Rhinolophus ferrumequinum: one gene and its partners. The protein of the gene in region 3 interacts with the protein of the main gene of each other region in a biochemical or structural test. Links are inferred from orthologs where the notes say so. Each region holds a gene or a part of one and is shown on either strand. Other genes may lie near its edges. The genes, in order: MAP2K7, MAPK8IP1 and MAP3K11.

Evidence for each region.
Region 1: of the proteins of MAP3K11 (region 3) and MAP2K7, one has a biochemical effect on the other in vitro, tested with the Homo sapiens proteins (2 studies listed by BioGRID). The link is inferred for Rhinolophus ferrumequinum from reciprocal best matches to the Homo sapiens genes MAP3K11 and MAP2K7.
Region 2: the proteins of MAP3K11 (region 3) and MAPK8IP1 form a complex in vitro, tested with the Homo sapiens proteins (2 studies listed by BioGRID). The link is inferred for Rhinolophus ferrumequinum from reciprocal best matches to the Homo sapiens genes MAP3K11 and MAPK8IP1.

The regions. Positions count from the first base shown.
Region 1 is NC_046301.1:56,873,214-56,880,332, forward strand, and holds the start of MAP2K7 (dual specificity mitogen-activated protein kinase kinase 7), read left to right. Parts: upstream 1-4,053; 5' UTR 4,054-4,127; coding exon 4,128-4,251; intron 4,252-5,952; coding exon 5,953-6,000; intron 6,001-7,119. Other genes in the region: volume-regulated anion channel subunit LRRC8E, read left to right, coding at 1-1,829. UniProt on the Homo sapiens protein: Dual specificity protein kinase which acts as an essential component of the MAP kinase signal transduction pathway. Essential component of the stress-activated protein kinase/c-Jun N-terminal kinase (SAP/JNK) signaling pathway.
Region 2 is NC_046294.1:14,967,502-14,975,090, forward strand, and holds the start of MAPK8IP1 (C-Jun-amino-terminal kinase-interacting protein 1), read right to left. Parts: upstream 3,054-7,589; 5' UTR 2,857-3,053; coding exon 2,756-2,856; intron 1-2,755. UniProt on the Homo sapiens protein: The JNK-interacting protein (JIP) group of scaffold proteins selectively mediates JNK signaling by aggregating specific components of the MAPK cascade to form a functional JNK signaling module. Required for JNK activation in response to excitotoxic stress.
Region 3 is NC_046294.1:6,096,259-6,104,176, reverse strand, and holds the start of MAP3K11 (mitogen-activated protein kinase kinase kinase 11), read right to left. Parts: upstream 3,074-7,918; 5' UTR 2,599-3,073; coding exon 1,863-2,598; intron 1-1,862. Other genes in the region: PCNX3 (pecanex-like protein 3), read left to right, coding at 4,805-4,957, 5,329-5,516, 5,753-5,852, 5,975-6,014, 6,114-6,209, 6,439-7,566. UniProt on the Homo sapiens protein: Activates the JUN N-terminal pathway. Required for serum-stimulated cell proliferation and for mitogen and cytokine activation of MAPK14 (p38), MAPK3 (ERK) and MAPK8 (JNK1) through phosphorylation and activation of MAP2K4/MKK4 and MAP2K7/MKK7.

The DNA of each region.
Region 1 (7,119 bases), on a different chromosome or scaffold from region 3:
CCATGGAAGCCCAGGCAGGGCCAGGGAAGGCAGGGGAGGGTGAGAAGGAAAAGGTGCTGGCAGAGCCTGAGAAGGTGGTGACTGAGCCACCAGCCGTCACTCTGTTGGACAAGAAGGAGGGCGAGCAGGCCAAAGCCCTGTTTGAGAAGGTCAAGAAGTTCCGTGTGCATGTGGAAGAGGGGGACATTTTATACACCATGTACATCCGGCAGATGGTGCTCAAAGTCTGCAAGTTCGTTGCCATCCTGGTCTACAACCTCATCTATGTGGAGAAGATCAGCTTCGTGGTGACCTGCACGGTGGAGACCTCCAGGTTCACGGGCTATGCCAGCTTCTGCTGCAACCACACCAAGGCCCACCTCTTCTCCAAGCTGGCTTTCTGCTACATCTCATTCGTGTGTGTATACGGGGTCACCTGCCTCTATACGCTCTACTGGCTTTTCCACCGGCCCCTCAAGGAGTACTCCTTCCGTTCCGTGCGGGAGGAGACTGGCATGGGTGACATCCCCGATGTCAAGAACGACTTTGCCTTCATGCTGCACCTCATCGACCAGTACGACCCGCTCTACTCCAAGCGCTTTGCCGTCTTCCTCTCTGAGGTCAGCGAGAGCCGTCTGAAGCAGCTCAACCTCAACCACGAGTGGACGCCCGAGAAGCTTCGGCAGAAGCTGCAGCGCAACGCCAAGGGCCGGCTGGAGCTGGCCCTCTGCATGCTTCCAGGACTGCCTGACACCGTCTTCGAGCTCAGCGAGGTGGAGGCGCTCCGGCTGGAGGCCATCAGTGATATCACATTCCCTCCGGGCCTGTCGCAGCTGGTGCACCTGCAGGAGCTCAGCCTGCTCCACTCACCCGCCAGGCTGCCCTTCTCCTCACAGATCTTCCTGCGGGACCGCTTGAAGGTCATCCGTGTCAAGTGCGAGGAGCTCCGTGAGGTGCCCCTCTGGGTGTTCGGACTGCGTGGCCTGGAGGAGCTGCACCTTGAGGGGCTCTTTCCTCCAGAGCTGGCTCGGGCGGCCACTCTCGAGAGCCTCCGTGAGCTGAAGCAGCTCAAGGTGCTGTCTCTGCGGAGCAATGCTGGCAAGGTCCCAGCCAGTGTGACCGACGTGGCCGGCCACCTGCAGCGTCTTAGCCTGCACAATGACGGGGCCCGCCTGCTGGCACTGAACAGCCTCAAGAAGCTGGCGGTGCTGCGGGAGCTGGAGCTGGTGGCCTGTGGGCTGGAGCGCATCCCTCACGCTGTCTTCAGCCTGGGTGCGCTGCAGGAACTTGACCTCAAGGACAACCACCTGCGGTCCATTGAGGAGATCCTCAGCTTCCAGCACTGTCGCAAGCTGGTCACGCTCAGGCTATGGCACAACCAGATTGCCTATGTCCCCGAGCACGTGCGTAAGCTCCGGGTCCTCGAGCAGCTCTACCTCAGCCACAACAAGCTGGAGACCCTGCCCACCCAGCTGGGCATGTGCTCTGGCCTCCGCCTGTTGGATGTCTCCCACAACGGGCTGCACTCCCTGCCACCGGAGCTGGGTCTCCTTCAGAACCTGCAGCACCTGGCTCTCTCCTACAATGCTCTGGAGGACCTGCCCGACGAGCTCTTCTTCTGTGGCAAGCTGCGGACGTTGCTCCTGGGCTATAACCACCTGAGATATCTGTCACCTCAGGTGGGGGCCCTCAGTGCCCTCAGCCGCCTGGAGCTCAATGGCAACCGGTTGGAGATACTGCCGGAAGAACTGGGCAACTGTAGGGGGCTCAAGAAGGCGGGCCTCCTGGTGGAGGACACTCTTTATGAAGGCTTGCCAGCAGAGGTTCGGGAGAAGATGGAAGAGGAGTAAAGCCAGGGAGGGGCATGTTGCGGTAGAGGCCTTCTGGGTATTTCTGTCCCCAAATCTACCAATGTCTTCAAGGGAGGTGGCCAGGTGGGCCCAGGCCAGGAGAGGAGCAGACATGTCAGTCTGTGGGGCCCAGGCAAGATCCTGGGACTGGTTTGTCTGGGGAGACGGGAGTCTGTGGATTTGGGGTAGAATGTCATGGAGGGATTAACTAAGTCATGGAATTCACAGACCAAAACCACACCTGTCTTTGGCTGGCTGGCCTGCCCCCAGCCCTGGGCCAGACTGCTGCCCTTCCCCTGGACATTCTAGTTCAATCAGTACAACAAAAGGGGTGAAGACACATCCCAGTAAAATTTCAATCCTTCCCTGCCCCAAGGAGGGGATACAGACACAAGGGGCCAGTGCACACTGCCCTCACTTGGATGTTAATCCCTTATTTATAAGTTGATTCCCATGGACACGTGAACTCAGAAACATGGGCCTCTTAGTTGGCTATGCATCAAAATCAACATTTCCAAAACAAACACCCCAGGCCCCACCCCTGAAAGACTGACTCAGAAGCTTTGGCTGGAGGCCAGGAATTTGCCTGTAAATAAACATTCCAGCTCATTCTGACGAAGGTGGTCCTAGGCCTGTATGTTGGGAGATATCTGGATATATATAGCAGGGATTCTGAACCCTTTTTAGGTCCCTAGGCCCTTCGAGAATCTGATGAAAGCTGGGCACCTCCTTCTTCAGGAAAATGCTCGTGTACACATTCATGCACAATTCTGCCTACAACTTCAGGTCGTCAACAGATTCCCCCAGCTCCCCCAGAGGGCTACTGACGGATGTCCTAAGGCCGGCAGACACCAAGTTAAGAACACCGGCTGTGGAGGGTACACTGCTCTGAGGACAGGCAGGGACTTTGTCTCTGGAATGTTCCCTGTGTGAGGAAGCATGTGTCAGTGGGTGCTTAATAAACAGTCCTAATGATGAGAACCATCATTCCGATCTCGTGTCCACGCCTGTCACTAAGCTTTCCGTTTCACCAGACCACTTCCAGGCAAGTGGTGACATGTGCCACAGTCAAGGGTATGAGTCTCTGTCCTGGGTCAGAGGCGGAGAAGGGGGTAAGGAGGCGCCCTCGGCTAATCAGGAAAAATGAGGTGGCGTCTTCTGCCTAGGTTTTCCCTGGGGAACCCCTTTTCTTCTACTTTCCGTGTTATCCTCCTGATTCCATACTTTTGTATCTGCTCCCCCCATAAGTCTTCATCAGAGGGATCCCCTCGGCTGGACCAGGAGTGGGCAGGGCACTAGGCACAGCCTGCCTGAACCTGACCTGGGCCTGGCCCCCTCCAAGGTATCTGCAGGATGCAATCTTCCGCCTGGCACCCAAGAGCAGAGGCAAGCTGCTCTCCATGGACCCAGGATTCCAGATGGGGACATTTCCCCAGCACCCTTCAGACCAAAGGAATATTTAGGCTACAGGGACACCAGGCAGAGCCGCCGAACCCCAGGGCCAGTCTTTTGCATTGTCCAGGAGCTGGGTTCACATTCTGGGGGCAGGGCAGACAGGGAAAGCCTGACACTGTCCCACGCCAGTCTGACCTGGAACTCTCCAGCACTGACGTTGGTCCCGGTCGCCGAGGTCAGAGGTCATGCCGGTGGACAGTAGCTCTAGACCTACCCCGCCTCTCTCACTTGTCCTTGGCTAACCCTGAGCTTGCTGAAATGGCAAGGGTGCCTAATTACGGTGAGGAGGCAACAATTAAGCATAACAGAGATCCTAATGGACCATGTCCCAGGCGAGAAAGGCAGTTCTGAGAGGGCGTGGGTGCCAAAAAAGGGCCAGTCAGGAAGAGCAAAAAGAAGGCTGAGGCGACCAACCTCCCCAAGTCCCCAAGCACGAGCCGCCGGGCATGCGCGTGCGCAGCAGACGCCACGCGCGAGACCTCCTCTCCTCTAAGCGTGCCCGCCTTTCCCCGCCCACCGCTCTCTGCAGAACGGTGATTGTAGTTTCCACACAGCGCCGTTCACCACTGAGTTCGGGAAACTCGCGCGTGCGCATCACGGCGGAGACGTTGCACGTTGCCAGCCACTAACTCTAGGTGGTGTCATCCCTCGGGCTGGGACGAGGGACGCACGCGCGGGGGTTCGCACGAGGGAAGGGCGGGTGCGCAACACGGGCATGCGCGGTGCGGGGCGAAACGGCGGCTCGGCGGGGTCATCCGGGCGCAGGCGCAGTGCGGTGTTTGTCTGCCGGGCTGACGGTCGGCCGGGCGGTGCGCGGCGGCGGCGGCGGCGGCGGCGGGGAAGATGGCGGCGTCCTCCCTGGAGCAGAAGCTGTCCCGCCTGGAAGCAAAGCTGAAGCAAGAGAACCGCGAGGCCCGGCGGAGGATCGACCTCAACCTGGATATCAGCCCCCAGCGGCCCAGGCCCAGTAAGCACGGCGGCATGGGGGAGGGGGCGGGTGGGGCGGGGCGCTCGCCGCGGGAAGCCCCGCCCCCGCCGCCAGGCCCCGCCCCCGCTTCCGGGACGCTCTTGCTTCTCCGGTCCGTTCCCCCCTCCCCGCTGTCGTCTCGCGGCGCGAGGGTCACGGCAACCCGGGGGGCGGGGTGCTGGCAAGCTCCCGGGCGGCTCTCACCCGGCCTGGGTGATTCCCCCTGACGGAGCCTGGGAACCTAGTTACCTGGCTCCAGGCGAGGACCCCACCTGATGACCCGCCCCCATCATCGTGATCCTCGGAGTCTCTGTCACCTATTGTGAGCCGTGCTCCCCCTACCCAATCCAATCGGCCGTGACCAAATCCACGTCCTCCGCAAGCACATACACATCCCTTTTGACCAGATGGTTCCGCTCCCGTTATCTCGGTGACTGTGTCAAGAGGCCCCTACCTACCCCCACTCCACGCCTGGGTCCTTGTCATCCGGGTTCAAGGGATGGTTCACTCACACTTGTCCGGGGGACACCTCAGGTCACTTGAGCACACGTAACCCCCCTTATCCCTCTGACCAAGACGATTCTCCCACTCCTTGTGACTGTGTCTGGTGATCCCTTCTCCGTCGTGGGCTCTTGTCTTTGAGCCCAGCAGCCCCCCTCCCGCACACATTCTACTCACATACATGTACCAGGTCCCCTTCACTCCCTGATCAGTTTCACTGCCACCATCTTGGTGAATGTGTCTGGCCCCTCAAAAACACACACTCAGCCCCCAACCTGGAGACTTTGTCGTTTGGGCTCAAGTGACTTCCTTTTCCCCACATACCCCTACCCACCCAGCCTGGGGACACCTGAGGCCCATATGGTGGTATCTAGCATCCCAGCACACATACGCCTCCCCTCTAATTCCACCATCTCAGCACCTACCTTCCTGTCATCTTGTCATCTGGAATCAAGAGCTGTCCCCCCTGGGATCACCATGACCACATGTAGGATCCTTGTTATGTCCCATAGAACCCAACTCCTCTCAGCTGGAGGGCATCAGATTTCCCGCTGCCCACAGACTTGAAGAACAGCACCCCCATGACACTTACGTAGCTCCTGTGGGGTCATCCTGACAGGAGGGGAAGACATCCCTGTATCTGGGTACTCCCCAACCACCCCCTACTCACCTGGCCTGACCTTCACAGCCTTTCCTCGCCCCCGCCGCCGTCTTGTGTGTAGGGTCCACTCCCCATCTCTCTTCTGACGTGGGTCAGTGTGGGTGCCTCACTGAGGGGTCTTTTGGGGGCCCAGAGAAAGCCCCAAGGCGGTAATGCTGGCGTTGGACACTCCCTGGGGTAGGAACCCAGCCAGGACTGGAGGGTTTCTACTAAGCTCCAGGATGGACAAGACAGCGCTGGGTACGGGGCGTCGGGTGCCTACAGGGGTGGCTGTCCCAGGTGCAGAGCAAGGCACGGCAAGACCCAAGGCGGGCAGGCCCCCGAGGAGCCCCCTGCAGGCATCTGTGTGTGTCAGCGTCAGCTCCATCCCCTCCTGCCGGTCCTCCCATCTGTCGGTTTCCACCCATCTCTGCAGTTTGGTGCCTCGTGCCTCCCCCCTCCTCCTCGTTATGATTTGATTTCTTTTCTTTTGGACAAATCGGTTGTTTCTGTTGTGATTTATCGTGGTGTTGTTTTTTTTCTTCCTTTTCCCCATCCAGTTATTGTGATCACTCTAAGCCCTGCTCCTGCCCCGTCCCAACGAGCAGGTACCAGCCTTTTTATCATCGCCGCTTGGACATCTGCACCGTTGACCTAACCGCTGCCCTAGCCGCAGAATGCCATCCCCCTCCCCCCGTGCTCTGTGTGTGTGAGCGCCCCTGCGTGCGTGCGCATCTCCTCACTCACTGTCCCTCTCACTCCCTCACTTTCTCTTTCCCTACGGTCAACATCAGGCCCACCTGGCCTCTTCCTGTGTCCTCTCTCCTCTCTGTCTCTTGGGTGCAGGTTTGGACCCCCTGGTGGAGGACCTGGGCTCCCTCATTGACTGGGAGTCTGTCACCTGTGAGGGGGTCATGCATGTGCGTGTGTGTGCGTGCGTGAGTGTGTAGAAGTAAGAGGGAGAGAAAGGGGGGCCAGCATGTTGGCTGTGCCTGTTTATCCATTTCAGTAATTCAGGGGACACGTCTTGGCCCCTGGGTGCTGTACCTGTTTTAGGCTCGGGATACAGCAGTGAACAGAACCGACCAAGTCCCGCTGTGCAGCTGATGCCCCACTAGGAGTTGAAGGGGTGAGAATAGTGAGCGCCTCCTGACTGGGGAGAACTGGAGAAGGCGACAAGTACTGGGGAAAGCAGAGGAGAGCAGGCTTGGGGGTTCTGTAGGGGGACTGTTGGGGGAAGCCTCTGGAGAAGGTGGGGTTTGAGCAGTGTCTTGTGGGAGGGGCGGGGAGCATGTGCACAGCCCTGCCAAGGCCTGAGTACAGGTGCCAGCGGGTCTGGCTGGAGTGGATGTATGTGGGGTGTGCCCATGCATTGGGTCGGTGGTGTGTGAGAGACCGGGCTGGGGTCTGTCTGGTCCTGTTGGTCCTTGTGTGTAAGTGGGATATTAGGCAGTTGAATGTGTGTAAGTGTGTGTGTGTGTGTGTGTGTGTGTGTGTGTAAGATGGTGTTGGGGGCTCCGTGGTCTATTATCTGCCCATCTGCATGTGTATGGGGGTTAGTGCCATGCCTGTGTGTGTGTGTGTGTGTGTGTGTGTGTGTGCGCACACCCCTGCTGACTGACAGCCTGGTACAGCTGTGGCTCCTGACAGCCCCCATGTCCTCTTGTTTTCTCTCATTCATTCATTCATTTATTCATTCATTCATCTCTCTCTCCCTCTCTTTCTCT
Region 2 (7,589 bases), about 8.9 Mb from region 3:
TTGGGGCATTTCTATAATCAGAACAAAGAAGGACACATATTATTTAAACCAACTATCCACAAACAAACGTTCCCCACCCTTGCAGGTCCACATCGTGCTCACCCCCTCCACCACCTCACCTCTCTCCCAATATTCCAGGGCACTCTCTGAACTCAGACTGCCTGGGTTCCAACCCAGCTCTGCTACTTATCTAACCTCTTTATGCCTCCGTTTCTTCATCTGCTAAGTGGGCTTACAATAAGAATAATACTCTGTTTATATAGTCCTGGTAGGAACTCTTGCACAGAAAGTGCTCAGAATGGTGTCTGGGCAAAGTGAGCCGCTCCCACGTGTCAGGGCGTACCACTGGGCTCTCTGGCAATGCACTGTATTCTCTGTACTCTAGGAGGGTGGTGCCCAATTTTAAGCTTAATTAAATAGTAAACCAATAAGGCATTACTGAGCACCTACTCTGTGCTGGGCATTGGGCAAACCAAAGTTTAGATATTAACTCCTTACGCCTTTGAGAAGCTGACAGTGGTGCTGGGGCATGTGTAACACACACAGTAACAATAAGAACAACAACAACAATAACAACAACTGCATGAAGGCAGCGCTCCACAGCTCTTGGAACACTCAACATGTGTTGTCTCATCCAAGTCTAAGGACCGTCCTGCACAGCGGCCAAAGCTGGCATTATGGAGAAGAAACAGAGGCTCGGGGGTCGAGTGCCCAGTCTTGGGGCACACAGCTAAGAAGGCTAAGCCAGGAATCAAACCCAGGCCAGCTGGATCCACGACCCCACCAAAGAGCCACAAGAGAGCAGTAACTACCCAGGGTTAAACCAAACTGGGCCAAGGGCTCTGAGAGGCTGGACAAGGGAAAGGGCAGCGGGGGCGGCCACGTAGGGCTGGAGACACTGCTCTTATTATTCCCACGAGTGGGCTTTGTCTTCACAGCCAGGCCACCATGTCCCGGAGGGCTGGCCCACGCCTCAGCCTTGGTGTGCTGCCACCCTTGCCCACCTGGGCCAGGACTGGACACACTCACTGGCTGGTATCCACCCTGACAGCTCCTCTCGCTAAAGCGCCCATGCTAACCTGCCTGCCTGCCTGTGAGCACTGGTACCTGGGGATCAGGAGCCAGGTGAGGGGAGGTAAAGCTGTCCTCCGGGCCAGGGGCAGGGCCTGGAGGTAGAATGGACTGAACACGCACCGTAGCTGTAGGTTCCAGTCCAGCCTCAGGCTCTAACTTCCTCTGGGTCCTTGGGCAAGCCACCTGCCTCCCTGAATCTCAATGTCTTCATCTACAAAATGGGCAGACTGATCCCCACACCCGGGGTGGTTATGAGGGCTAGGTGAGCCGGCACTGGGAAATGCTTTGAACAGTGAGGAGCTATACACAAGCCTGCTAGCATAGAGGGCGGGCTGACACTTGGTAAGCACCGACGTGATATAAATTAAGGAATCAATATTCATTAGCTCACCTAACATGTGGCACTCAGAGAAGATAAAACCCTGCCCAGGTCATGCAGCTAGAAAGTGGTGGAGCTAGGATTTGAACCCAGGTCCTTCTAAGCTCAGTGCCCTCCCACTGCAGAGGGTCCTCCTGGTAGGAAGGCAGTGTTTGCACAGAGGCAGTGTGTGATGCCAAGTGGAGTCACTCTCAGACCTCAGGCTTCTTACTCAGGCACTAACCACAGAGGCCCCAGCATTCAAACCTCCTCCATCTGGTCCCCTCCTTCTGGTGTTTTCCGGGCTCAGCTCAGGGCCTCAGGGGAGGTTTCTAATCCTGATGATGCCATTAGAGACCCACAAAGGTCCCTGCCCACCTGAGGACCAGGGAACCAGCAACCTCTTGGTCAGAAGAGGGGCTGGCGCCAGAGACCAGCTGGGGCCTGGCTGAGGTGGGGGCCCCAGGAGACGGGAGGGCGCCAGCTCATTAGATGGAGAAACAATGGGGTACATCGAGGCCTACTTCTTCCAAGGCTCTGGAGCAGTTACACCTCCTCTTCCTTCCACCTGGGGCCAGGATTCTGAGGAAGGGACATCAACCCTTCCCCACAACACCTACTGTCCACTTCTCTGAAATTCACCTCCCAATTGCCTAACCCCAGCTAGGAGGCAGGGAGAGGGGTGAAGGGAAGCTCAGATTAGGGTCCTGGGAACTACTCCTGCAGGGACCCCCCCCAATATTCCTGGTTACTTCTGGGTGTCCAAACCAGACACCCCGTCCCACAGCCACGTCTAGAATCTCTGGGTTGAGTCTGAACCTCCTGCACCTGCACACATCTGACAAGGTCAGGACTTGTCCAAATCCAGGTCTGGGAGTTAGGCCCCTCTGGTCAGGCAAGGCCCATGACTCCCTCCTTCCTGCACCAAGGTTGTCCGTTGCCCCAAGAAACTGGCACCCATTTCTATTCAGAAGCCTTCGGACTGGGCACAGGCAAAGCCAGCCTACCTGCCTCCTTTGGGATCTCAACCCAGATTGCAGCCCTCCTCCAATTGCAGCTCAGAGTCTCCTAGCCTAGGTCATGGAATGGCGGAGGGAACCGCACCACGGATATGCAGAGGCTATCAGTTTAGACTTGAAGCTGAGGGAGGTTCTGGGGGCTCCGTCCAGGGAAGAGACTCCATCTCCATCCAGGCTGTCCCCTCGTTCCCGGGGTCTGGGGGGGTGGTGTGTGTGTGTGTGTGTGTTGCAGGCTGTGGGGAGAGGGAGCCTGAGCAGATCAGTCCCGGCTAAAGGGCGGGGCACCGCGGCCGGGGATTCTCACCTGAAATTGGGCGGCGACGCTATGTGCAGCCCCAGGAACGGGGAGGCGGCAGGCGGGGACGCGGCCCCCCCGCCCAGGCCGCCGCTCTCTCGCTCCGCCATTCTCGCGCACAGCCCTGGCCATCCGGGCGGAGCGCGGTGCGGAGGCAGCGGCGAAGGCGGCGGAGGCGGCCGAGGGGAAGGAGGTGGGGGCGTAGCAAGAGGCCTCCGCCGCCGCCGCCGCGGGGATCCTGCTGGGCGGGCGCGGCGGGCGCACCTGCGCAGGGCAGCGCGCGGCTCCGGACCGCACACCGCTCTCGGGACTGGCGCGAGCGCCACCGCGCGCGCCCCCGGGCCCTGCCTAGGGGTCTCGTGCGCCCCGCCCTCGCCCCGCCCCCGGGCCCGCGTGCCCCGCCCCTCGGCGCTCTCCGAGGTACTGAAGTCGCGGCCCCTGCCGCCCCTGGGTCCGGCCCAGCCCTGCCCTAACTCTTACACTGACTCCTCTCCCCTCGCCCCTCCCGCAAAGCCCTCCCAAGCCCCCCCCCCCATGTGGCCGTGCGAGCTCTGCCAGTTGGCGTGGGCTTAGCACCTGGGTGTCAGGTAACTAATGGCGGGCCCTTAGTTGGCCCTCCTCAGCAGACTAAGAAGGCGGACAGGAAGGGGAAGGTCGTGGAGGCTGGCATAGAAAGGGAAAGGGGGTTGGCAGTGGGCTCCTCGAAAGACACTGGGATCTGTGGGACACCCCAGCCTGACAGGTTTGGAGTCAGTTGGTGTGGCTTTGCGTTATGATGTACCCGTCCTAAGGTTTGGTTTTCTCACCTGTGAAATAGGGACAATAATGGTCCCTCACATGGTTGGTGTGAGGTTGAAACGTATCACAAATGTATTGTCACCGGACGCTGAGAACACTCCATCTCCTGCTGGGATCCAGGTTCACCCCGTCCAGTCCCATTACCTTGAGGGGACCCTTCCAAGGACTATCCCTAGAGCGTCTCCTCTCTAAAGATTGACTCAAGCCCTGCTTCAGCCCTAAACAGCTATTAATGGTTAACTGAACCCTTCCTCTTGGCTTCTGTTTCTGAGCTTCTCCTTTTTCATGTCAAGACTTTCCCAGATTTGTCCCTCTTCTCACTTATCCCTCAACTGCATTTCCTGAAGAGGAAACGTGCACCCAGACATCCAGAGCTGGCCTCTCATATTCTAAGACAGGGCCTTTCCTTCTGCCCCAGCTGTGGTTTCTTCCTGGCCTTCTCTTCCCTAAGAAGGCTAAGCCTGTGAGTTCTTTGAAAGCCTGGACTGCTGGACATGCAGGCTGCTGGTCAAGGTTAGGGCCCCAGCTTTGGTGGGTCATAGAGCCTCTGACCAAACATCACTGGCTTTTCTGGCCACCTGGGAGAATCACACAGGTCCTGCCCTTCACCTCTCTCTGAAGCAGCAGCAGAGCAAACTGCTTCACAGCTTATGGAACCTTATTTGCAAAGCTGGACTGCCAGCTGGTCAAGCCACCCCCTTTACCTTCAGTGTAGCATATGGAAAGGAGCTGCAGGTAGCAGGTCTGCAGTGAACAACCCCCAGCCCCAGCCATGAGAACGTCCCAATACCTAGAGCCAAAGGCCTTGGCTGCCTTTCTTCTCCCTGCCTAGACGGGTGGCCACTGTATCTTCCCTGCTATCTTGGCTCAGTCTCCTTTCACTACGCCTGAACAGTAACCACCTGCTGTTATGGTGCCTGGATTCCCAGGAAAGCAGTCCTGCCATAGTGGCTAATAATTGTACCTTAGTGTGGAGAGTGTGTTTGTCTTAACTAGGGAGTGTCCTCAGGTCAGGGGTGTGTGTGTGTGGGGGGGACAACTCCATCCTCCAGGACCTTTTGCTCAAGAACAAAGGTATCTCAGCTCTCCTAAGGCCAAGCCAAAGCCACATTAGAGAGCAGCCCGGAGAAAGGAGAAAGGGAAGGGCGGGACCAGATCTTGGTGGGAAAGGGGCCACCAGGAGCTTCAAAGCAGAGCCAAGAATGAGACGAGTTCCAGGGTCAAGTTCCTCCCTTTTCCCCTTTCTCACTCTATGCAGGGCAGAGTGTGATATTCTTGGGCCTTGCCTGAGCCCCCTCCCACAGGAAGTTGGGGTACGGCTAACAAGGCTCTAACTTCCAGTGGTCTAAGGCTGGACACCTTCACAGGAAAGCCCACGCACTGTGCGCAGAGAAGGGTCACTCTCTGGCCAGATGGCATGAGACAAGGTCAGCATCCAGGCCCTGGGCTTGGCTGTGGTCCCATCTGGACCACCTAGCCAGAGCCAGAAGGCTTGGACCCCTTCCGCACCACAGCTGCAGCTTAAGTGGCTGAGTTGAGGTAAAGGATGGATGGAAGGCCCGGAGAAGGCCTGCCCCTGACTGATCCCCAGCCTGGGGGTCTACGTGGGCCACAGGCTGGGTCTCTGCCGAATAGCACTCATGACCCTCCTCCAGTGCCTGGAATGCGCTATACAATTCTGGCTGATTGACCTCCAACTCTGACAAAGATGGGGAGCTCCGGATGCTCACCTAGGAGCCTCCCCCTTCCTCCATCTCTCCCCACCCCGCTCACCCCCGTGACCTCCAGGAGGGGCAAGAGGCTCCTGGTTCCAGCAGAGGCAAGAGGGTCCGGCCTAAGGCTTCATTCAGGCTCACCCTTACTGATGCCCACCCCCCAGACCTCCCACAAGACTGACGACAGCACAGCTTTGCTCATCCAGGATCAGACATTTATGAAACAAGTGAATATTCACAAACTGTGGGAGAAACACACCTTCCCAGCAATAGAAAATCTCTGTATAAAGTGCATTTTGCCTGTGACCATCTCTTACCCATGCTGGCCCTTGGATCAGGATTTGGGGCAATGCTCTATGGCAGCCCCCAGACCCCTGGGCCAGGGGAGGGGAGGCACAAAGCCATGGTGGAGCTCTGGGCTACTGGATGCACCCTCTCCTCACCCCGCCCCTCCTAACTCCAGGAGTGGACCGCTCCATTCCACTGGGAATGGGCCAGCATGCCAGGGAGGGTGAAGCAGGGGTAGGTGGTCTGGCCAGCTTTTACCTTAGGGAAGAGAATCCCCACTCAATAGGCAGGGTAAGGGACTCATCCTGGTCTGAAGGGGCTGCTAACGAACACTGACGCTGGCCGGAGCCCTCTGGCCTTCTCAGTTTCTCAGACCAGCCCTTCCAGGCTTGCTCTACTCCCCTTCTGGCAATAGTCCCCAATTCTCTTTCTCCTGGCTGGGGCTAAGGGAACAAGGAAGTCCCCAACCCAATGCTTCGAATACACACCGTCACCTGTGCCCTGCTCCCCACACATAATTACGGGACATTTCTAGTGAGGGTGACAAACATACAACGGTTAAACTCTAAAGGCAGCTCTCTGGCTGAGAACACCTGAGGACCTCTCAGGAAGAAGCCTGTCAATGTGCTGGACAGCTGATGGAGACAGGGGCCTGACCCCAGGGTTCCGGTCTGAGGACAGGGGACAGTGGGGGACAGGGCTGGGGCCAAGGGAGTTAACAGCTAGAAGACTAGGAAAGGCCACAGGGAGGTAGAGGAGAAGGCCCTGAGGCCAGCTTAATGTTCCATGTGAGGACAAAACTCCAAAGAGGAAGTAGCCTCTCAGCTACGCGCGCATGTAGCACACACGCACGCGCACACACACACACACACACACACACACACACACTTTGTGGCTCAAGTGCAGGCCGCAGTGGAAGGAAGACTTCTGCAGCTGACCACACAGTCCTTTTCATTATGTCTTTCTCAACACGGGCCTTTGACAGTGGGAGGGTTGAGGTGGGAGGCATAGGCCACTCCTGGAATGTAAGGCCTTGACCTCTCCGGGTCAAACCTCCCACCTGCTACTTCTGGAAGGGTTGGTGTGCGGAGGGGTTCTTTACTTGGACCTTTCCCAACTGGCCCTGGCAGTCCTCACGAGTCCACCTGCCTGGGTCCTCGGTGCCTAGCTACTGGCAGAGCTGACATGGCAGCTTGGACGCTGAACATTCCTGGGCAGGCTCTGGACACCTGCAGAACAGACTAGAATGGCCTCCCTGGCTGGCTGTCAGCTGACCTCAATGGCAGCACTGTGGTGCCCTGGAGTATGGCCAGAAGAGCCAGGAACCTGGCCTCCTGCTGGTGGAGGCACTGGGTTGCCACAGTCAGCTCTGAGGCTGGCCCTCAGATTCTGCGGAATGAACAGTAGGAACTGGGATTTTATTCCCAACCTTAGGTTTTAAGCCCGAAAAGGTGGCTGTACTTCCTAAGCTATCTTCTACAGTACCGTGTATACAGGTACTGGTGTACTTCCGTACGTGGTGGAAAGTTCTCAGATCTGTCCACAGCCTCATGTTCTGATCCAGATGCCTAAGGAAGGGTCTGGTCGACCCAATGGCAGGGAATTTTTAAATAGGAAAGAAGCCAGGCCAGGTGACTGTGTCTGGATAGCATCCGTCCACTCCAGCCTGCTCAGCCTCCAGGGTCAGGAGGAACTCAGAAGGGCTCTGGCTGCCTTTAGAATCCTCTGGACAGGAGCCAGAAATGCTGCCCTCCTGCTCCTCCGTCTGATAAGAGGGAGGCAGGGAGGGCTGGGGGAGGGGCAGATGCCAGAATCCCAGCGAGGGCCCTACCACCTTTAGCCTGGGCCATAACCTCTAGCCTGGTGTCTGAACGCTGAGGTGAAGCTGCTACAGGACTTCTCCGGCCTAGGCAGCATTCAGAATCACAAGAGTGTAAACAGATGCATGCACACCCTAATAGGCACACCACTCCTTCCTCTGCACACACGCGCGCACACGTTCGCTCCATCTCCATCGGTGATCAGCTTTCCTGCAGGTTGTA
Region 3 (7,918 bases):
AACTGGGGGGGTCCTTTGGGGGAGAATTGGGGGAGGTCAGGCCCAGGCCGGGCTGGCTGGTCAGTCCTGTGACTCGTGGGCCTGGAGAATTCCCCCTCCTCTCCCTGTCAGGCTTCCTCACAAGGCCCCCATTGTCCAGGAAAATCATGCCATTGTTTCCTGCCTGCGCCCCCCCAGTCCAGGGACATCCCCCCCAATGCCGCAGACAGCACCCCAGGCCTAGAACTTGGGCCTACAAGGTGGGAGGCCAGGCTCAGGAAGGCTGAGGGCACCCTCCCTGCCCTTCACCACCACCCAGACTCTGGGAGGGAAGCAGGGGAACTGGAGGAGAGTAGGGGCGCAATCCCTGGCTCCTTCCTCTCCCACAAACACCCCCCACCCCCAGCTCTTTCCTCCCCTGCAGGCAGCTGGGTTGGGGAGGGAGCAGAGGCTGGAGCAGGGGCAGGAAGCCGGCTCAGGGGCAGCAGGAAACGCAGGAAGCGGTGGGGAGGGTGGGGAGCAGGGGCCTGGGCTATTGTTCCATTTTTTCTGGAAAGAAAACTGGAGGAAAAACAGAAGACGGAGTCCCCTCCCCCTGGGGCCTTCGGGGAATCCCCCTCAGGCTGAGGCAGGGAATGGGGGTCCCTAGATGGCTAGAACCCAGAAATGAGGCTGAGAGGTGGAAACTGCCCCCTATGATAGTGGGTGGGGTGGTTGGCAGACATCCCCCGGCCCCTCCAGTCCTGGCAAGGACTTGGACATCACTGGGTTCTGGTGTTCTGCTCCGCCTAGATCCCTTGTCCATGGTCAGCCCAGGCCAGGAGGCTCAAAATATCCATGCTCCCCTTCCAAGAGCTGCCCAGTCCTCTCCAGTAACTCCACTGGCCCCTCCTGGACTTCCTTTTGCTCTATAGACCGCATCCAGGGCCCCAGAAAGCCCGTATCCCCACTACTGTGGTGGGTCCTGCCTCTTGGCCTTTGCTCTTGTCAGGCCCTGCCTGGCTATCCAACTGGGTGCCTCTCTGAACGCTCACTGCTTTTGGCCTGGTGGGAAGCCTGCCTGTTTTTGGAAGGCCTCTGAAACTGTCACTCCTTGTCTTGGGCCCATGCTGAGCACTGTGTGAGGCCTGAAATGGTTAGAGATGGAGTGCCTCCTTGCTTGAGTCTGCCATAGCTCCACCATGCCCACCCCAAATGCTGATTCCAGGTGAGGCCCTTTTGGTGATCTAACCCTCAAATGTCCACACCCACGCTTGAGGACCCACTGTGTGTTACCATCATACACCAGGGCTTGCCTGGTCCATTAAGCCATTCCCACCCCCCTCCCCTGTTACTCTCTTTATACAGAGTCTGAAACCGAGGCTCTGAATTGAAATAACCACCCAGGGGAGAGGTGGGGCCAAAATTCCAGCCCAGGCCCCAGCCTGGACCACCACAACCACCATGGTGGGGGACTTTCCCTTTGGAGAAGTCTGTTCTGGAGGAGCGGCCCATCACAAGTGGAGGGGAGTGCAGAGAATCAACAGCACAAGTGCGAACTTTAAGGGAGGGGAAGATGAGGAGTGCCAGCATCCAGCGCTCTGCTTCCTTAAGGTGGTAGTCATGGTTAGGCAGGGTACTTATGGCCCACCGGAGAGATCCCAATTTTTTAACTTGGCATCTGTGAGCTGGGGCCAAGGACTTCTTCTGGGGCTGGGGCATGAAGGACTCTGTTTGGTGTCTGGGACTTCTGCTTTGGGGACAGTGGGGATCCCAGTCAATTGGGACTCCCCCGGGGCAAGAGCTCCGGCCTCTAGTAGATCCCCAGGTAGGCTCAGCTGAGAGTAGGCAATATGTGTGTGCTTGGGCCATGCCACCCTCCAACCATGCTCCCCTCAACTCACTGTTGTTGGACTTGAGGTCTCTGTGGATGACGGGCACCAGGGCCTCACAGTGCAGGTAATGCATCCCACGGGCAATTTGCACAGCCCAGTTGACCAGCACGTGGGGGGGCACACGCCGCCCAGCCAGGGCACGGCTGAGGGGCCCACCAGCTGCATACTCCATCACGAGGCACAGATTGGGCTCCTCCAGGCACACGGCCTTGAGGGCGATGATGTTGGGGTGTGCCAGCATGGCGAAAAGCCGGGCTTCCTGGCGCACGCTCTCAGCTGTCACGCTGATGTCCTCATCGGGGTCCTGTCGAGCTGCCTTTACGGCCACCAGCTCACCTCGCCAACTTCCTCGGTAGACCTTGCCGAAGCCACCAATGCCTATCACCTCTTCCAGCCGCAGCTCCTGGAAGCTGGCCACCTCGCAGGGGGGCGGGCCGCCCCGAGACACATAGTTGGATGGAAAGATGCCTACCTGGCCGCCCACCTGGCCCGCCCACCAGCCCTCATCGCCTGAGATAGCTGCATCCCGGGACAGCACCTCCACACGGTCGCCCTTCCGCAGGGCCAGCTCGTCTTTCCCATTGGGCTCGTAGTCAAACAAGGCTGTCCACACAGGGTTGGCATAAGCCGCTGCTTTCGGGGACCCCTCTGGCCAGCCTCCGCTGCTGCCCCCGCCGCCCCCACTGCCACCGCTGTTCCATGACCCCAGTGGGCTCTTGAGGAAGAGGTTCTTCAAGGGCTCCATGGCTGGGAGCCGGCGTTGGGGTGTGTGGGGGACCTTCCCTGGGTGCCCCTGGTCCCCACCCCTGCTGGCTGGCGAGCCCTAGTCCCAGAATCTGGGCATCCGGGCCTTGGTCCTCAGCCCCAGACCCACGCCTCTCTGGGGAGCCAGGAGTGTGGCTTCCTGGCCCGCTGCATCTCCAGCTTCTAGAGGAGGGCCACCCAGGGCAGTGTGGTCAGGCTCGGGGGATGGGACCCCGAGGTCTCCGGTGTCTCACCATTGCCAGTTCGGAAGGGCCGGGGTGTGCCTCAGTCCCGGATCAGTCTTGGGAGCCTGGCTCCAGCACCCGCCAAATGTAAGGTGGGGCCAGAGAGGGGCAGCGCCTGGACTTCGGTTGGGTCTTTTTGCGCAGGGCTGGCTGAAGTGTCCTTAGTTGGGTCGAGCCGCCCCTTCCAGGCCCAGCTCCCTTGGCCCGACCGCTCCAACCCCCGTTCCCTTCTTCCTCCTCCCTTTGTACTTTGGCCCCGGGGGCGGGAGGCAGAGGTGGAGGGTGGAGTTTCACTTTTTTCCGCTCTTCTCCCTCCTGCAGGAAACAGCATCAGATGACGCGAGCTGGTAGCACCGCTCCCCTCTCAGAGGCTGCAGGCGGCTGAGCCTCGGGAGTTCCCTGGTAGGCGGGCGAGGAGGGGCAGAATGAGGGGAAGGGTACCCCGGACCCCCCATCACAGCGGGCTTAGGGTCGAGGTTGTTCTTTGCTAAGGACGTGCTACCACCACCCTCTGCATCCGCATCGGCAAAACTGGGTGAAAAACTTGTCTTAGGAGTGGAGCAACCCCGAGTCTGGTCTTGGTTTCGAAGTTGCAGAGCTGTGTGACCCATCCTCTCTGCGCCTCATTCTCTTCATATCTGAAATGGGGACCAGAAGCTCTGCTTTGCAGAGCTAGTGGGATGAGGGTGCGGGAGATTGGAGGAGGATGGAACTCGCTGCACCTCAAACTCTTGCAACGGGTTGTCTAAGGTTCTCCTTTTCCCCTCACCTGGGAAACAGTCCACTTCTTCATGCCCCTTCCCCAGTGGGCGGAAACCTGAGACTGTTGTCCAGTGATTGGATTTCAGAATAGCTAAGTCTCCCTCACAACCGCTGGGTTGACCCCACTTGCTTTGAACCTGTCACTTTAAGAAAAACGACGCTATCCTATTTCGACTATTCCCGCCTGTTCGGGAGGGTCGCTCTCTGCACTCCAAATCTGAGCTCTGACCCGGAAGTAGAGGCCGCTCCGGGTGACAGACGCTCGTGACGTTTGAGGTCCAACACTAAAAGGGGCGCACCCGTAGGGGCGTGCTCCGGTGGCGATGAACTCTCTCTGTGGTCCTGGGGAGTTCACGCCTCCATCCTTTTCCCCACCTTCGTAACTCATTGGGAGAGCTTTCCGCCAATTAACTCCGCTGCATTACCCAATGGCCACTCAACTATCCCTTTGGTTCCGCCCAGTGGTTTTCGCTAAATTGGCAACGCCTAGGTGTGCGCGTGCGCTCAAGCGCTTCCACCGCTTAGATCGTCTCTTCCCTTCGACCTGGACTCTGCGCACGCCCAAAGAGCTCCCCCGCTTCTTTTCGCTCTACCGCCTCCATGCGCTTGCGCATTCATGCCGTCAGGTTTTCCTTTTCCGGGTCCCAACTGAACCCATCGGGCGCATGCGCCACTGCAGGCTGGCGGCTCGCGGCTCCTTCTTCCGGCCTCCCCTTTGGGCCGGCTCCCGCAGAAGCGGGGCGAGCGCGGATCCCGGAGCGAGTGACCTGTGACCCCGGAAGTGGACCTCAGGGTCCTGGGGTTCTCCCCAGGCCGGAGCCGGGAAGCTGTCGCCTACACCTCCGGGCTACCCACCCCACGCCCACCTCTGGATGCCGCCGTCGGGTGCCTGGCCCGTGCCCCGCGCCTGCCTGCCGGCTCGGCCCCTCGGAGCGGTTCTGGGCCAGGGGTGGGGGCCCGGACCCCGCCCCTGATGCGGCTCCGTAGCCGCGCCCAGGCCTCGCCCCGCTGACTGCCCTGGCCGACCCCGCCCCCTGCCCGTACCCTCGCCCCTCGGACCCCTCTCCCCCGCTGGGGGAGGCCATGGCGTGAGCGCTAGGCCGGGCCCCGGGGCCCTCAGGCGCCAGGCGGGGCATGGGCCGGGGGCCGCCCCCATGAGGGTCCCGGGAGGAGGGCGCGCGCAGCAGCAGCGGCGGTGCCATGGGGTCGCAGGTGTTACAGATCCTGCGCCAGGGGGTGTGGGCCTCGCTTACTGGCGGTTGGTTCTTCGACCCACATCAGAGTACCTTCTCCAACTGCTTCCACCTCTACGTTTGGATCTTCCTGCTCACCTTTCCCTTCTTGCTGTACATGGTAAGACGCTGCCACCACCTGTAACTCCCGCCAGTGAAAGGGAGGGCAGATGGCACTAAGAATTGGTGGCCTGGCAGGGATTCGGGACTGTGCCTTGGGCTCTGGGGTGTGGAGAGAGGAACCACCGCAGATTTAGGGTGTGGGGAGAAGCCAAATTCTTCCTTTTCTGGGCTGGATGACCTTGAGTATCTCACGGAATATCTGTCTCCAGTTAGAAGACAGAACTACTGGTCGGGTCACTGTGCTAGTTTCACAGAGGGGCGATGAAGTCTTCTTGTGAATTTGTGAACGCTAGCGCTGACGGATGTGGTAGGTCCACTCCATGGGGGCAGAGCTGTATGAGGAGGAACCTGACTTGCTGCCACTTCCAGGTCCTGCCTCCCAGCTTGATGGTGGCCAGTGTATACTGCCTTGTGGTGGCTGTCATTTTTGCTACCATCAAAACTGTGAACTATCGGCTGCATGCCATGTTCGACGAGGGCGAGATTGTGGAGAAGCGCAACTCTACCTTGGGGGAGCCAGAGGAAGAGCCTGCCCAGGGGGACAACAATGCGCTCAGGTGGGTGGGGTAGGGGCTCTGTTGGGGATTGAGGGCTCTCGTTGCCTGGGCTTGAGCATTGGAGGATGGAGGAGGGGCTTAGGAAGCATTGGCTTCATGAGTGGGTCAGCACTTGTTCTATAATCGGTCCTGAAATTATAAGGGAACTTTTGAGGAGAGAGAAGCGACGGGGATGGCAGAGGTACTAGATAAAGAGGGTAGGTTAGCGCAATGCTGAAGCTCTTCTCCGCTGCCAGGGATCCCGGAGTGGAGATGACAGTGTTTCGGAAAGTGAGTTCCACACCCCCAGTACGTTGTAGCTCCCAGCATTCCGTGTTTGGCTTCAACCAGGTCTCGGTGAGTGGTCCTGGCCCTTAGCCTCTCCCACTCTTCTCCTGAGAGCCCATGCCCACCACGGGTATGTCCTGAGGCTACTTCCTGTCCTGTTTGCTCCTTTACACCTGTCTCTGTCTGCCCAGGAGTTGCTGCCCCGGATGGAAGACTCTGGGCCCCTCCGAGGTAGGTCGCTGCTGCTCAGGGCAGAAAGTAGTGGTGTGGAACGGGATGGCACGCACCTGCCCCGGGGTGCTGCTGCTGACTCTGGGGCCGTGGTTGCAGACATCAAGGAGCTGGTGCGGGAGCAGGGCAGTAACAATGTGATCATGACCTCAGCCGATCGAGAGATGCTCAAGCTAAGCTCTCAGGAGAAACTGAGTGAGTGGGCATGATATGGCGGGGGGTTGGGGGGAAACACTAGCTGTTTTGTCTCTGAGTCACCCAATTGTGCTACCCTGGGGCTCTCTTTGTTCTCCTGGATGGGTCCTCCTCAGGGTCCTACCCCAGCTGGGCTCTCAGAGAAGGCAGAGGCCATAAGACCCCTTAGCTACCAGTTCCTTTCTCAGTGTGCTCTTCACTCACTTTCTGCGTTCCTTTCTTCTGACAGTTGGAGACCTTCCCCAGACGCCCCCGGGGGCTGCCCCGGACCCCTCTCTTCCCAGCACGGACTCTTCGGAACGTTCTCCCCTGGCTGGAGATGGAGCCCCCTGGAGTGGGAGCAGTGTGGCTGACACTCCCATGAGCCCCCTGCTGAAGGGGAGCCTCAGCCAGGAGCTGAGCAAGAGCTTCCTGACCCTGACCCGGCCTGACCGGGCCCTGGTGAGGACCAGCAGTCGGCGGGAACAATGCCGGGGAGTAGGTGGCTACCAGCCCCTGGACCGGCGGGGCTCAGGAGAGCCCACGCCGCAGAAAGCCGGCTCCTCAGATTCCTGCTTCAGTGGCACTGACAGGGAGACGCTGAGCAGCTTTAAGAGTGAGAAGACCAACTCGACCCACCTGGACAGCCCCCCTGGTGGGCAAGCCCCTGAGGGCAGCGACACAGACCCACCCTCGGAGGCTGAGCTGCCCGCCTCACCAGATGCTGGAGTCCCCTCAGATGACACACTGCGTTCCTTTGACACAGTCATAGGAGCAGGGACACCGCCAGGTCCAGCTGAGCCGCTCCTGGTTGTGCGGCCCAAGGACTTGGCCCTGCTCCGGCCTAGCAAACGGCGGCCGCCCGTGCGAAGACACTCCCCACCCGGCCGTGCCCCTCGGCGGCCCCTGCTGGAAGGCGGGGGCTTCTTTGAGGATGAAGACACCAGTGAGGGCAGTGAACTGAGCCCGGCCTCCAGTCTCCGATCTCAGCGCCGCTACAGTACCGACAGCTCCTCTTCTACCTCCTGCTACTCCCCCGAGAGCTCCCGGGGCGCAGCAGGGGGGCCTCGGAAGCGACGGGCCCCCCATGGGGCTGAGGAGGGGACTGCTGTGCCCCCCAAACGGCCCTATGGGACCCAGCGGACGCCTAGTACTGCCAGCGCCAAAACACATGCCCGTGTGCTGAGCATGGACGGAGCGGGGGGTGATGTCCTAAGGGCCCCCCTGGCTGGCTCCAAGGCTGAGCTGGAGGCCCAGGCAGGGGTGGAGCTAGCTGCCGGTGAACCTGCTGTGCTGCCTGCCGAGGCCCGCAGGGGACCTGCTGCCAACCAGCCTGGCTGGCGGGGGGAGCTGCAGGAGGAAGGTGCTGTAGGGGGAGGTAAGTGCCAGCTGCAGGGTTGGGGAGGGAGGTGAGCCAGGTCGGGGCTTAGGTCTGGGCAAAGGGCAGACGCGTGGACCTGGTCGGGGTCAGCCCAGCCTCTGTCTCAGGCAGCAGGTGGATGTGGACTCAGCGATTGAGTGACACAATCTGCCAAACCCCTCAGATAAGCAGGGCTGCAGCAACGGGGAGACAGGCAGAGAGATCTCCGGCACCGTTCTCCAGGTCCTGCCGTTGGTACTGGAAGCCTCTGTCCCCGACGACTCGCAGCATCCACGGACATCATCCTGGGCCATCAGTGGGGCAGGGCAGTCATACTGTCCTTATTTCTAAACGTGGAAACTGAGGCACA